Diceros bicornis minor: one gene and its partner. The main gene of each other region encodes a partner of the protein of the gene in region 2 in a complex. Links are inferred from orthologs where the notes say so. Each region holds a gene or a part of one and is shown on either strand. Other genes may lie near its edges. The genes, in order: SUFU and GLI1.

Region 1 (7,351 bases), on a different chromosome or scaffold from region 2:
GTTAGATTTAGAAAAGTTTGTCAGGGGAAAGAGGCAAGAAAAGGGAAGCTCTCCCAGGAAGGACCCCATGAAACTGCAGAACTCTGGAAAAGATGGGAGTGACTGCAGGCTTCATATCCGCTCCAGCTTCCTGCTGCATATTCTCAGTCTTGCCCCTCCCTCAGCTGAGGTCCATCCAGCAACAAGTGGCAAAACTATGTCCACTCTTCCATGCTCCATCTGTGACCTCACTGCAGCTCTCTTTCTGGCCAAGTCTCCCAGGAGGTATTGCATCAAGGAGAGAGGCTTTACCTTAAAACCCCACTGCAAAGAATGACCAAGAGTCAGACAAAATTAAGCTAGTCCCCAAGCACAGACTGTAATATTCTACTTACTCAGAGACCTGACGGGAAGCAGACGAGTATACAGAAAATAATCATATTTTGCACTTAGAGAAAGATGTTATTCAAGGACCCAGAGCATCCCTCAACTTAATTCCTACAACACTTAACTCTGCAGGGCAGGTACAGGACTGGAGTGGCCCCAGAGCACAGGCTCTGCCTCTCTGCTTCTGCTCCCTGCTCACTAAAGTCTCCGCTTTCAGCCAGGATGTCCCTGCTGGCCAAGGACCACTAGCCAAAGAGCCACCCTTCTGTTGCAAGAAAAGGAATCCCAAGGTAACCTGGCCCACAGCCAGACCCAGGCAGCCTCAGTCTGTCATCCTGCCATGAGAACTGAAGAGGCCTTGTGGGACTCCAAATGTGAGGGATATCAATGAATTAATTTCAGGATCTTAATTACGCAACCCCCTTTGAATCTTAGAAAGAATCATTTGCTGAGCTGTCCCCTCTTACGTTTTTCTTCATCTAGGCAGCATTTCTAATTTCACAATCCTTTTTAGTCATCATTACATGCTGGCCCATCTCTGGCCTTCATCATTCACCGAGTCTAGACCATTAACAAGTTTGCAGCAAGAAGAAGAAAAAAAGTTGCCCAAACCAGTCTTAGTCCTTTGCACATGCTTCAATACCTTTTACACACAACTCTATCCTTCATGGCCAGTTGGGTGACATAAAAACAGTTGCCCAAGTCCGTGTAGGGATTTCTCCCTACACTCAAATGCGGCCTGAAAAAACAGTATGGCAGAGGCAGGCCCACTTTTCTCATGACACAATCCAACAGAGTTCATCACAATACATATTTAAATATAGAGGTGCAATTAGAATGGGTGATTAAGTTATCAAGAGCTGCTTTTCACTCAGAAGCTCTCTTCAAAAACTCCTCTCAACCAAAGAACAGTGTGCTTGCCAGAAAGAACTGTACCACTGGCCACACCTCCTCCGGCTACCAGACAGAGACAGGCTGCTCCTCGTGGCCCTCCCTAAGCAGCAGGTGGCTGGTCCTCAGGCCCTCCACACTGTCAGCCTCTTCACATCCTCCCATCGACACAGGGAGCTGGCCTCAGCCCTATCCAGCCTAGCTTCTGCCATCTCTGGAGGAAGTAAGAGGTTGTCATGTAGGAGAAAGACTCAGTCTTAAAGGGAAAGGTAATCAGCAAAGACATCCCCTTCATTCACTTCTACCTTGAGTCTACCTACCCCCTCTGCCACAGGCCAAGCAGATACCTGAAAAGTCTTCCAGGATTCAACAAAGGGACCATCTAATACAATGCTTGCATGAATGTGGTTCTGGACAGATTCAACCAATTCTTGTCAACTTTTGGTCCAGAAAGACCATGAAGACAGGCTCTTTTCCAGAGTCCCCACAACACCTGTTTTGCCCAGAGGCTGCAGGAAGAGACAGGTTGCAAACAGGAATGAGAAACTAGAAAAGACCATTCCTACCCCAAGGGCAGCCCATCTGTAAACAGGTCTAATCCTTAACAGAGCTACTTGAGGGTTACTCTCAGCTTCCCTGAGACACTGCTGCCTAAATCCTAAAGTTCGTGGCCAGGAAGTTCCTCTTAACATCACACTGCACTTCTTTCCTCTTTGTCTAACTCCCAGGTCTTCATCATTTACCGAGGTCTCCTTCAATCCTGACCCAAATCATGGATCTCCCTGACCCTGCCTGCCTCTGTTCTAGCCAATGACCTAAAGCAAAGCAGCTGCAGAGCCAGAGGAAGCTCTGCATGGAGAAAGAGAACTGTGCAGAGTAAGCAGAAAGTTTATCAGGAAAAGTTGCCCGGTGAAACTTCAAACGCAAAAGCATTGCACTGATATGATGTCTGAGCTCACTGGGAAGTATCAAAACGAGACCTCCTCCTCATCTCTTCACAAGCACGACGCTCACAGCTTGCTCCCCTCCTAACCCACAGGAGAGCCCGGGTCCCCAGACCGGCCCCAACCCTATGCTGTCTCGTGCCCTTTGAGCTCCTCCAGCCCGGCTCCTCCAAAGCTCTCTCATATGCTCCCCAGGCCCCGCCTCGCCTCCCTCATCCCGCTTCGGCCGCCCCTCCTTGGCTTCCCCTCGCCCACTAATGACCCCCTACAGGCGCCCCCTCCTTTCACCACGTTTACAGTTCCCTCTCTCCTACCGTTCCCCTCTCAGCTCCTACACACACCCCCAATTCACTTTATTCTCCTAATCTCAGTTAACCCTTCAGCCTTCCCTCCTTCGTTAACCCTTCGCTACCCACAGGCTCCGTTAACCCCTTTGTCCCCATTCGCAATTTGAGCCTTAACTCCTTCCCTCGCAGCAGGAAGCCCTCCTTCCAGTGCTTTAACCATTCTCTGTCTCCTCCTCCAACCTTGCAAATTACTTCGCCCCCGGCGCTTTAACCCTGCCCAGCCCGCCCCTGTCCGTCTCCCCGCGGCCCAGGGCATACCAGTACTTGACGATAGCGGTAACCTGGAGCGGGTTTGGCTGGTCAGGGTAAAGGCGGCGGCACTCTCCGTAGATGGCGTGCAGTCCCGGGGGGAAGAGCGAGGCGAAGGCCGGGGGGGCAGTAGGGCCAGGGGCCGGGGGCGCGGTGGGGCCGGGGGCGCCACTAGGCCGCAGCTCCGCCATCGGGGCGTGTAGGACGCTGGGGAAGCCAGGGAAGGCGGACGAGGCGAGAGCACTGACGCGCCAGCGGCGGACTCCGTGGGTGCGACTCCCCGAGGCGACGGGGGCTGCAGCGAGGTGTAGGCTTCGCGCCTGCGCACGGCGCACCGTCCGCCCTGGCAGTCGCCGCCGCAGAGACCGCCAGAGGGTGCCTCGGCGGCCGCGGGGCGCTCAAGGGGGCGGGGCGCCGGCGCGCCCTATCCCAGCATCCATTGGCTAGTGTCTGTGCCAGTCACAGGTAGGGAAGGCGTGACTTGACCATAGGTCCCGCCTCCCTCTGCCTGCGTTTGGGGTGTCCCAAGGCTCTTGGCCTCCCCCTAGTGTTAGGAGGAACCTAGACTTAAATAGAGATGTTGCGGCATGCTTCTGAGGTGCTAGGGTCTCACGAAAGCCGTGGAAAGTGCACCGACGAAAGGCTTCTCACTGTTTTGCTGACACGCTGCTAACAAGGATTTAAATATAAATCTGACAATAGATTGATTCATTCGTCCGTGTGGCATTAGTTTTATTTTATTATTATTATTTTTTTTTGTGAGGAAGATCAGCCCTGAGCTAACATCCATGCTAATCCTTCTCTTTTTGCTGAGGAATACCAGCTCTGAGCTAACATCTATTGCCAATCCTCCTCTTTCCCCCCCCCCCAAAGCCCCAGTAGATAGTTGTATGTCATAGTTGCACATCCTTCTAGTTGCTGTATGTGGGACGCCGCCTCAGCATGGCCGGAGAAGCGGTGCGTCCCTGCGCGCCCGGGATCCGAACCGGGGCCGCCAGTAGCGGAGCATGCACACTTAACCGCTAAGCCACGGGGCCAGCCCCTGGCATTAGTTTTAATAGATAACAAATCTGAACGTTACCTACCGTCTTTGAATGTCCATTGACTATATCGACTGACACTAACACCGCCAAATTCAGGGGTCATATTTTGAAATACCTATTTTGGAATTCTGTCAGAAAGTAACAAGAGTTAGGTAAACTAGGATCGATTAAAAAGACTTGGTAATTATTTAAAAAATGCTTTTAGTGAAGATGACAATCTCTTTTTTCTTCTGTTTTAGGCAGATGTCTGCAGATTACTTTGAGGAACATCATTATCTACTGTGGCCTGCCCTTCCCCATTACCTTGGCTCTCTGTAACTGGAAAAAAAGTTAATTTCGAAGGCACTGAGTTGGGAATTACTTTCCTGTTTACAATAACTTTTCATATAGTAATGTCTTCCACTCAATGATCTGGAAATTCCAAGAGAAAGGGATAGAAGGGAGTCCTGCTTACCAGTACTATTAACTAAAAGATCCCTGCAGCTTGAAGGCGGGGAGGAAATAATCTAGAGAAGAATGCACTGGGCTCATTTGAAAGCAGTGACACATAACCTCTCTTCACCTCCATTTTCTCGCTCATCAATGTAAATTCTAGCTCCCCACGAAAATTAAAGAGATAGAGCAGTTTCTGAAGTTATTAGATGAACGATGTTTTAATAGCCAAAAAATCATCTATACCAGTAGCTTCAAATGCCAGTCTTCGGACCAATGTTAGCCTGTTGCAAAGTTCACACCTACCCAGGAAAAACGCGAAAAGCAACAAAAATGTACCGTTTTTTCTAAAAAGCAAATTTTATGCAATTTAAATTATTTTCTTTTGTTCTGGCAATATGTCCTTTCCCGTGTGTGTGTATTAAAATTTCCTTTAGTCGAGTGTGATGGCGATAGATTTTTATTAATGTCTTATAGACCCAAATAAAAACATGGCAATCTTATATCGTCCAGGGGAAGTGGTGGGGAGTGGCAGGAGGGATCTGTAAAATCCAAATATGCACGAATTACTGACCAATCCAAACCGAACTACAGACAAGTACTCAAGAAGACTACTTTCATACAACTTTACATATTTCAGCATGCACTGCTAATCCCTTCAAGCGGATTACAGATCCAAGCAAGCAATACCCCCATCAATCGGCATCCCTGTCTATTATCAATGGAGACTACAAAGCCCAGGGTACTGTGCGTCAGAAACGCGACGCCCCGTCTCTTAAAGCAGGCGGGGCTCCGAAGTTGCCTGGCTCGCTAACCCTGGTGCAAGGCATGCTGGGCTTGTAGTTCTTCGGAGGCGAGGTCGGGCCGCTCCCTGCCGCCCTCTACCACCGGCTAGACTGCGCATGCGTGTCAGTGGCGTTAGCAGCGGACCCGGCTGGCAGTTCCTTCCTCGGAAGGAAAGATTCCTCTGCCATGGAGTCCTACGATGTGATCGCCAACCAACCCGTCGTGATCGACAACGTGAGTTGCGTCTTTCCTATCTCTAAAGGGACGTATGCTCTCCTTCCCGAAGGGATTGCTTCCCGGGTTTCAGCCCGGGCCGCCGGCTCTTTGTCACTGGCCCGGCCTGTCAGGCGGGTTCAGCCGCCGCCGCCTCCATCCACCCCACCCCCACCCCCCAGTCCGCAGGCAGGGCGGCCGGCCAGCAACCGTGGGATGGAGAACTTGGGGATGGATAGAGGGAAGAGCTGTAGTGCGGGCCGGGTTCTTGGGCCGTTGGCTTGAGGGGCCTTAACCGATGTGAGCGCCCGGCGCCCATCCCCTCCCCGGTTTCCGATAACTCTATTGGCTGCTCTGGCTGTCCATCTTGACTGATGACCCCGCCTCTGGGCCTTGCCGGATAAGGGCAGCCCTCTGCAGTGATTGGCTCGCGCCCCTGCCATTTTTCCGGGCCGCCATAGTGTGTCCCCTCTCTAAGGGGCGGGGCGATGCACGAGGGTTGTGAGGATTGGTTTCGGGATCGCCCGGTGTAGGGGCCTGACGGGCTAGGGCCTGCCCGCGGGTAGAGAAGGGGTAAGTTTCCCTCTGTCTGCAGCTGGCCGGAGGCTTGGCGGTGTATCTGGGTGGGGCCCGAGAATCTGGTGCGAAAAATAGCCATAAGATTTCAGTTATTTCTGTGATTATAAATTATAACGTGAATAAAGGTCGAGAAGAAAGGAGAGTGACAAAGCAAGCAGGGTGATACCTTCGTCTTCGGAACGCCTAATTGCTGGGGAAAAAAATTACCAAACATAACATTTGCCAGGCGCTCTAGCGCTGACGTGGGTGGGGGGAGTGCACATCCATTCGAGTGGATCCTCACAAAAACTGGGTGAATGGTTAAGGCAGGACGTTTCATCCTCGTTTTACAAATGACAAAACTGAAGCGCGAAGAAGTCTAGTGAGCCCAGGGTCGCACAGTAGAGGTGCCCTAAATCCAGTGCTTTATCCGTTAGCATCAATAGTGACAAATGGAAAGAATCTAAATACTGCTCTTATTTGGGGCGGAGGGGGACAATTGTAAAACAACTGTTTTACGTTTCTGTCTTCCACTCAAATGTTTGGTCCCACCGAGATTGGTTGATACCTTTTCTGTGCCTCTTCTAAATGGCTCCATGGAGGCAAAACTGCCTATTCCCTGTCCGGAGCTGACTGTCAGATGCCCTCTGTTGACCCAGCCCTTGGGACATCTTAGGCATGTTACAAGGTTGTTTCATTTGCATCACCTCATTTAAGCGTCCGGTAGGTAGATAGGAATTACTACCCCCAGTTTATGCAGGAAAGTGAAGCTTGGAGAGGTTTAAATAACAGTATTCAAACTACCTGGTTTATGAGTTGAAGAGCCAAGACTTAAATTGAGATTGAGTTCCAAGGTCCTCACTTTTTCCAAGGAAAGGTGCTTTTTTTGTTGTTAGCTTTCCTTCTCTCCAGGGGTATGAGGTTGAGCTCAGTGACACACCTCATTTTGGGGAGGACTTTTTTTGTCTCTCTCACTAGACTATTAAATCTTTGTGGGAAAAGATAGTATTCCTTCGTTTTTCATTACTCTCGTCTTCACCTCACTCTACACACACACTACCTAGGTCCTGGCACCACTATGTGCTCAATAAATGTTTTTTCATTGGATTGATGGGTGAGTGGATGAATGATTGAATAGCTTTATCACATTAACAAAGAAGTCCCTAAATAAAGAGAGGTTGGGGGTGGGGCGGAGGACCCTAGTTTGTTATGGCAGAGGGTTAGGTATAACTGCTGGATCTTGATGTTGAATTTCAGAGAACACCACTATCTCTGTCTTCAACCAGTTTGTGTGTGCTTCATCTGCCTTTTTTGTTTTAAAAAGAAAATACAAATAGAAATTAGCCATTTCCTGTTTTCATCAGCAGTGCAGAAGGAACGGTCTGTCCATCCCACCAGATCCTCTGCTTCTTGAATTGTTTGGAAGGAGTAGTTCCATCTCCAGCCATTTTCTTTAATGTCACTTAAGCAAATGCTTCTTAGTCTCTCCTTCCTCTCTCTTGGTAGTGTATTTTGAAATGCA
Region 2 (7,301 bases):
GAAATGAGCATCACTCAGCTAAGGAGAGGGTGAGGAGAGAAGTCCCAAAGAGGCAGAGGCAGTCTTGGCGATCTCTGTGGGAACTGGGTGGGACCTTTGCCTGGGTGGTCTGTGTGTGTGGTGGGAGGAGAGCGGGGTGTGGACTAATTGTGCCTATATGAGCTTCAAGTGACTTTATACCATGGGCCCTCTCTTTCCTCTTGCTCAGACCACGGGCCAGCTTTGACAGGTGGGATGGGGAACTCATGCGGAGCATCTGACTTCAAGCCCTGGGCTGGCTCCTCTGCCTCAGCCCCTTTCCCTCTCCTTCATTTGTTCCTGCCCGGGGACAGCCCGTCTACAGTCTCTCCAGTGTCCAGCAGAGGGCGCTCTCGCCACAGCCCAGACAGAAGCTGCTGGGGCCAGGAGAGATCACCGACGATCTGCCCTTTTCTCCCTATGGCAGAAAACTGTGTGTAGAAGGGGATAAGGTTTCTGAGGGGAGCCTCCCGGGTCTATTGGGTGAAAGGATGAAATGTTTTTCTGATGTTATTCTGGGGTGGTTTGAATCTGGGCTCCCATCTAAATTCTTTTGGTCTGTTTTGGGAACAGGAGAAGGACTATGAAGGAAGGCTTTGAGAGAATGAAAAAATGAAGCCATCATCCATTAGAGAGGAGTAGTGAAGGAGGAGAGGCTGCCGCTGTCCGCTTTTCTCCTCAAACTCCAGTTTTTATTCCGCCCCGGGTTTTCCGGTTTCCCGGGACTGAGGGTGGGGTGGGGCGGGGTAGGGTGGAGAACGACCGGGAGCGGGCCGGCCGGCGCGGTGGGTGATCCCGGGATGCTGGGATTTAGGGTGAGGGCGGGGTAAGATGGGGAGCGGAACCGGGACCCCATGATCCAGCCCGAACCCCGCAGCCTGGGCTGTACCCTTCCTAACTCCTCCTTTCCCAGCGGAGATCCGGGTCCCGCATCCAAGACCTCCCAACTCGACCCTGGCACTAGGTTGGGTGGGGGGGCACAGCTGGCTGGCAGCTGGATGGGGGGACACTTCTCCCGCCTCCTTCTATGACTCACCCAGGGGAAGGAGGCGGGGGCTCGCAAATGACCCCCCAAACACTAAAGAGACTCCCCCAAACGTGCCTACTCTCATCGTCCTGCCCCACAGCCCAGCCGCAGGGGAGCAGAGTTGGAAGTGGGGCGACATCCCTCCTCACCCACGCGTGCCACAGCCCACCCACGTCTCCCCTTCACACTAGTGAAAGAAAAATTTCGCCAACTTTTCCAGCTTGAGTTACGTTTCCTGGGGTGTGGGTGAGAGCGAGGATGGGGCAGGGAGCTCCAGGGTTCCCCTGCCGGAGCCCTGAATCATCTTCTGTGTCTCCCTATTTTCCAGAGTCCCCCTCGCACCCCCGCTCCCCAACTCCCAGGAGTCGGCCCCGCCCCCTTCTCCCGGTCCCGCCTTCCCCGCCTCCGTGCCTTCTCGGCCCACCCAAGTCGCCGCCGCAGGCTCTGGCTGCAGACGGCTCCGCTTCCCCCGCCCGCCCCGGGAGCCCAGTCGAGCGAGCCGCAGTGGAGTCGGAGGAAGGGGGGCGGTGAGAGGCGGGACACATTCTTCCCTCCTCCCCTCAGTGCATCCAGAAAGCTGGCAGTGGCGCGGGGGTGGGGGGGGCACTGTTGGGGAGTGGGGGTCCCCGTGGCGGCGTGGAAAAGAAAGAAGAATGCCGAAACTGTAGGGAGAGAAAGTGGGTAAATAAAATAAGGTGTGTATGGGGAGGAGGAGGTGCCAGGACACCTCAGGTTCCCGGGTGTCCCGGATGGCTTCCCAAGGGTTAACCCCTCCAGACCCCCGGGAACCCCTTAGTGACGTCAAGGGCGGGGTCTGTGCCGCCTGGCAGGGGATGCCGGGGAGATAATGGGGGGGGGTCTCTGGACCCCGCCCCCCTAGGGAAAACCACCCTAATTCCGGCCCTCACAACTCCCCCGGGAAATCGCCCCGCCTTCTCCCTCTACTGGACCGTAAAGATCTATCCTATCAAGACCCCAATTCTCCAGCCCCCTAAAACCTTCAGTCCCCGGTCTCTATGGGATCCCCTTTCCCTAATCCTGTCCCCAAAGCTAGCTGCCCAGGGCGGATTGTTTCGGGGTCACGGGGCCTGAAAGAGGCTTCAGAGCGGGGAGCAAGGGCAGGCAGGGTGGTCTGAGCCAGAGGAGGGGCCTCGGTCCCCAGCTCCCGTTTGGGAGGGGGGCCAACAGGGATGCACAAGCAGGCAGCGGCCAGTGGTCCCGCCCAGTCCCAGTAGGGGTCTCCCTGCGGCTGGCCCCAGCTGCCCTGGTGGTCCTGAGGTCAGAGGGTCAAGACAAGGTCTCCTCAGCTCCTCCTTAGCACCCTGCCCACAGCCCTTGGGACTCAGGAGTCCAAATTCCCTGGGGAGTCTTTCTAGGGCCTAAACTAGACACTGGCCCCTCCAGCCACCCTCCTAGTCCAGAAGGCACTCCTCTTCCTCAAAACACATGCACCCGAAAGCACATCTGTCACAAGACAGGTCAGGGGTTCAAGCCTAGCCGCCCCCCGGTGGTTCTGTCGCCTCACACACACCCATCTCCACCCCACCTAGGGCTCTCTCCTTAGCTGTCCCCTCCTTTCAGAAACACTGACGTCTTCCTGCCCGGCGCTCAGAGACACACCTGGAGTTCCCTCTACCACGCAGACCTCCAGCTAGCCGTCCCTCCAGCCTCTTCATCCCAACCTCATGGAAGTGAGATGTTTCTAATGTATGGGAGAGGCAGAGACAGACAAAGAGATCCACGGTTGCCTGAGACAGAGACACACAGACTGTCAGAAGAAAAAAAGATACAGAGAAACGGAGACACAAATGAAAAAATTCTCCAAACTTTCTAAGATCTCACCCCAGGCTCTCCCACCCCCATTTTGCCTCTGGGCCCCAGGTCTCCCTCTTGGCTGGGCAGAGTCCCTCGCAAGCAGAGCATCCCCTCAAGCCCCCTCCCCCACCGCTCCCAGGTGGTCCCCCGCGCGCCCCCCTTCTCACCTCCGCCTGGGCGCAGGGCTCGGGATGCGCGGTCCAGGTCTGGAGTCTGGGCTGGGGGTGTGCGGTGGGGAGGGGGGGCGGACAGGGCCACAGCAGCGCAGCCTCAGTGCCACCCCCACCGCCCTAACCTGGCCCCCAGCCCTCCCGCCGGCCCAGCCCGCCGGGCCGCGAGCCGGGACCACCCGCGAGAAGCGCAAACTTTTTTTTTCTTTTTGCAAAAACTTTTTCTCGCTCAAGCTGCTGGCGCGCCGCCGCTCTTCCCGCTCGCCCCTCACCTCCCTCCTATTTCCCTCCCTCTCACCGTTCTGGAAGATGAGGCGGGGTAACTGGAAGCGAGAGAGGGGGTGCCGGGCTTATTGCACCCCCAGGACCCCCAGGATCCTCCCCCTCCCTTGAGGGACCCTATACTGCCTGCCCCCCCTGCCCCCCCGCTGAACACGCTGCTGCTGGTGGGCAGTAAATCCCGGCATGGATCCTTGGATCGACTACCCACGAAGAGGCCCTGAATCAGAACCAGAAAAAAGATTGATAGATATATGCGGGGGGGGGGGGGAGGCGGGGGGCCGGGGCGACTAAAAGTTCGTCCGAGAAAGATAATATTGAAGGTTGGGTCGTCGACTTTGGCTGGTGCTGATTGAGCATTCCGCCACCCTGTGGTTTATCTGCCGGCTTCACCCATCGGATGGAACGTGAAGGGGTTGGGACAGAGTTGGAGTTTGATGGAAACAGGGTTGGGACAGAGTTGGGGTCGCCGGCCCTGCGCGGAAGGTGAGGGAGTCTATGAAGCACAAAAGAGAGGAGCAGGTGGCTCAGGCTTTGGGTGCAGCGTGTGTTCACAAGGTTACAAAGGAGCCCTGGGGCTGAAGCATGTTCCCTGAGAACCTCCGTTCTCCTTCATCTCTAAATTCTGGAGACTGCGGCCACCTCCGCACCTCTGCGCTGCCCGCTCTCTTTCGGCTCCTCAAGGCTGTCTGCTCCCTCTGCTGGCCATTCTGCCACATCACACCCTCTCAGAGTCTGACTGGAGGCAGAGGAGACTGGGGGAGACTTAGCAGGTCTCCCCACCCAAGGCCCAGTTAGGAGCCCAGGGAGGGGGTTGTATGAGCCCACAGAAACGGAGGGCACACCGGCAGAGGCTGCTAGCGCAGAGCGGTAGTACCTAACTGATAGGCGAGTGCCCTGTGCCTTGGGATTTGTGTTGCCATGGCGACCAGATGCAGGGGAAGGGGCAGCTATTTTAGTCTCTCTGACTTTTCCTTATGAGAAAGGGGAGAAAGCGTGGTGGGGGAAAGGAGTCCCCTCCTTTTATGTCACCCCTCAGACAGACCTCCCACATCCTAGCTCTGCTTCCAAGAACCACTTCCTTGGGCCTGGGGGGTCACTAGGTTCAGTATTCAGTCTGAGGGTCCATGGAAAAAGTGCAGCTAGGAAGACCTCTGAGGCCCTACAAGTATAGGTAGTAATTGGGCAGGGACATTTGACCCTCCTTCCCCCACATGACTTTGACCCAGACACCAGTTATACCCAGAGGGTCAGGCAAGACCAATGGTCACTAGAGAAGAAGGGACCCTACACATGCTCCAGTCCCAGCCATCTGCCCCTTCCCTCAGGCTGGCTCTTTTAGAGCACAGTGCTTTGTCCTCCCCACCGAGGTCTCTAGATCGGCGAGTCTCAAACATTTTGGTTTCAAGACCCTTTTACACTTAAAAATTATTGAGGTTTTGTTTATGTGGTTTATATCAATTTACCATATTAGAAATTAAAACTGAAAAAAAGTTTGTAACACAAGAATACACAAGCACCATCCCATTAACAATGCTGTCAGATGATGTAATCACATGTCACACAGCCTCTGGAAAACTCCACTGTATGCTTTCGAGATAATGAAAATTAAAAAGGCAAATAACATCTTAGTATTATTACGAAAATAGTTTTGACCTTGGGGACATCCCTGAAAGGGTCTCAGGGACCTCCCAAGGGTCCCCAGACCGCACCTTGAGAACCTTTGCTTTGGACCATCACCCCAGCCCTTCTTTATGACTCACACTTGTTGATTTGTTTTCCTTGTTTTTATTAGGAAAGTAGAAACGTTTGTCTCCCCATTGGGTCCTGCCCCCCCAGGAAAAACCAGGGAACTTCTCAGGCCCAGCACCCTTCTCTCCTGACTCCCATTTCTGGGGCTCTCCTGAACACCTTCCCTCAGCCCCTTGCCCATCTCCCTCTTGACCCTCCCTTAAAGCACTTCGACAGCCCCTACCCTTGGCCAGCCGGTTCCGCTGTTCCAAGCCTGCTGGGTCCTCGGTCTGCTTCTCCTTCCCTCACTTGAGGACTTTCTCTTCTTGAGAGAGACTAAGTCATTTTTCTCTGCCTTCTCCTCCCCCCCCCCCCCACCTCTGCCATCTTCTCACAGGGCTTAGGGTAGGAAATCATGCTTTCTGGGTAGATTCCTTTAGAAGACACACTTTCCCTATCTCCCCACACATCAACCAGCCTGGAATAGGCCAGAGGCTGGACAAGAAAGTGCCCATCTGGGTCCCATAGAGGTCAACCCAGTCATATTGCCAGGTGGCCCACTGGGTGGGGCTGTGGATCAGAAATCTGATGCCCCCAGCCACAGATGCCCTTTGCCTGGGAACCCCCAACGTGATCCCTTTACTCCAAACCCCCAGGTCCACTTGCTAGCTGCAGCCACAGGCCTCCACCACCATGTCTGGCACATCCGTCTTGACCACATTGCCTTCACGGTCAAGATAGAGGAGAGAGAGAGGCCTTCGGGCAGTAGGGACACAGCAGGAATTACCAAAGGGCCAAGGGTTGTTGGCCTTGAGGAGGCTGAAGACAGCAGAATGGAAGGAGGCAGCAATGCCGGGGCTGCCAGCCAGATGGGGGGGGCACTGGCCACTGCAGTAATTCAGCTGGTACCCCTCGGGCTGCAGAATCCAGTCCCGCCACCCCAGTTCCTGAAAGTCTACATAATGGTCTCGCCTACAACATAAGGGAGTCTCAGGCTCACAAGTGGGGGTCCTCCTCTTGGCCCGGGCTGCTCCAGGCTCATTGGGCCGGATCTTAAGCTCCAGGAAGGGCTGCTGGTTTCCCGCTGTGTCCAAGAACCGGCGAGGTTGTCGGGCAGCTGTGCTGTTGCCTTCTAGGGGTCTGCAGTCTAGTTGGAGTTTCAGGACACCAGACTCCTCACCCCTCAAGCCACTAGAGGGCAGAGTCAGGGCGTGCCAGCCCGGGGTTGTCATTTGGTGCTCAGCAAGGAGGGCGCGGGACCGTCGGCGCCTCCTCCTTGGGCCCCATCGGAAGATCTTCAAGTAAAGACTGTCAGGAAGGGTGGGGAGCACGTGCAGCCAGAGGCGTGCGTGGTACAGGTGGTGGGACTGAGGAGTGGACAGGCGGAAGGTGAGCATGAAGCTGCAGGTTGCAGTGGAGGAGTCTGCCAGAAAGATGGAGAAGGGACTGAGGAACGTGAGCAGAGATGAAGCTCTGCTCTGAGAGTCCCATAAGCCCGGCCCACTGCTTTCCCTAGCACCCACCTTTAGAAGAAACAGGGACTGCTTTGCGTCCTCCGCAACCAGTCCCTGCCCCATCTCCGCCTCCTCCTCCTACACCCCACTCCCTCTGCCTTTTCTGTCAGTCTCCCCTTCTGCCTCCTTTTCCCCATCTGCTCTCTGCCTGTTTCTCCCTCACCTACCTGTGATGGTAGCAAAGCTGATGACCTCCTCCCCATTCGCTGGAGCCACACTTCCTGGCTGTAGTCTCCGAAGCGCTCTGGTCAGCGCTGCCTGGGGTGGAGGATGAGTTATTCTGGGACGACTGGTCAGGTGCAGCCCCTCCAGGATTTGCTGTTTGGCTAGCTCCAGGACCAGAGCTCGTTCTGCTTGGGGTGCTAGTGTGCGGCCCCCACAGGAGGGGCACACAGACCCTGCCCCCTGTGCCCACACCAGCGCCCACAGCAGCACCAGCTGGAACTGGACATCAGGGAGCCCCATGCTCCTGGCGGATGGCCCTGGGTCGGGTTGGGAGCCTCAGACGGCAGTTGCTCCTTCTGTTGAATCTGATTGCGTGGAGGCTAACGAGGGCACAGCAGCAGCAGACAGCAGTGCCACACCTACCCTTGGCCAAGGGTAGAACCACCTGTCTTCTGTTGCCTGGGACTCAGGAGGGCAGGAAGAGGATGGTCCGATGGGTAGCTCTGTTTAGCGAAGTCTGCCAGTTTGACCCTCACAGCTCATGTCTGTTACTGACTGGGGCCTCTTTAGAGCCAGTGGCCT

The links.
Region 1: the proteins of GLI1 (region 2) and SUFU are in contact, whole or in part, in a crystal structure (PDB 4KMD), measured with the Homo sapiens proteins. The link is inferred for Diceros bicornis minor from reciprocal best matches to the Homo sapiens genes GLI1 and SUFU. Residues at the interface, in NP_005260.1 of Homo sapiens: Gly119, Ser120, Tyr121, Gly122, His123, Leu124, Ser125, Ile126, Gly127; in NP_057253.2 of Homo sapiens: Leu144, Tyr147, Asn153, Thr154, Phe155, Gly158, Asp159, His160, Val161, Ser162, Trp163, His164, Gln212, Asn265, Leu266, Ser267, Gly268, Val269, Ser270, Ala271, Glu376, Leu380, Lys398.

What each region holds. Positions count from the first base shown.
Region 1 is NC_080745.1:67,459,693-67,467,043, reverse strand, and holds the start of SUFU (suppressor of fused homolog), read right to left. Parts: upstream 3,133-7,351; 5' UTR 2,989-3,132; coding exon 2,807-2,988; intron 1-2,806. Other genes in the region: ACTR1A (alpha-centractin), read left to right, coding at 5,245-5,292. UniProt on the Homo sapiens protein: Negative regulator in the hedgehog/smoothened signaling pathway. Down-regulates GLI1-mediated transactivation of target genes. Down-regulates GLI2-mediated transactivation of target genes. Part of a corepressor complex that acts on DNA-bound GLI1.
Region 2 is NC_080756.1:11,495,070-11,502,370, forward strand, and holds the start of GLI1 (zinc finger protein GLI1), read right to left. Parts: upstream 3,150-7,301; 5' UTR 3,028-3,149; intron 2,814-3,027; 5' UTR 2,666-2,813; intron 1-2,665. Other genes in the region: INHBE (inhibin beta E chain), read right to left, coding at 5,706-6,463, 6,722-7,019. UniProt on the Homo sapiens protein: Acts as a transcriptional activator. Binds to the DNA consensus sequence 5'-GACCACCCA-3'. Regulates the transcription of specific genes during normal development.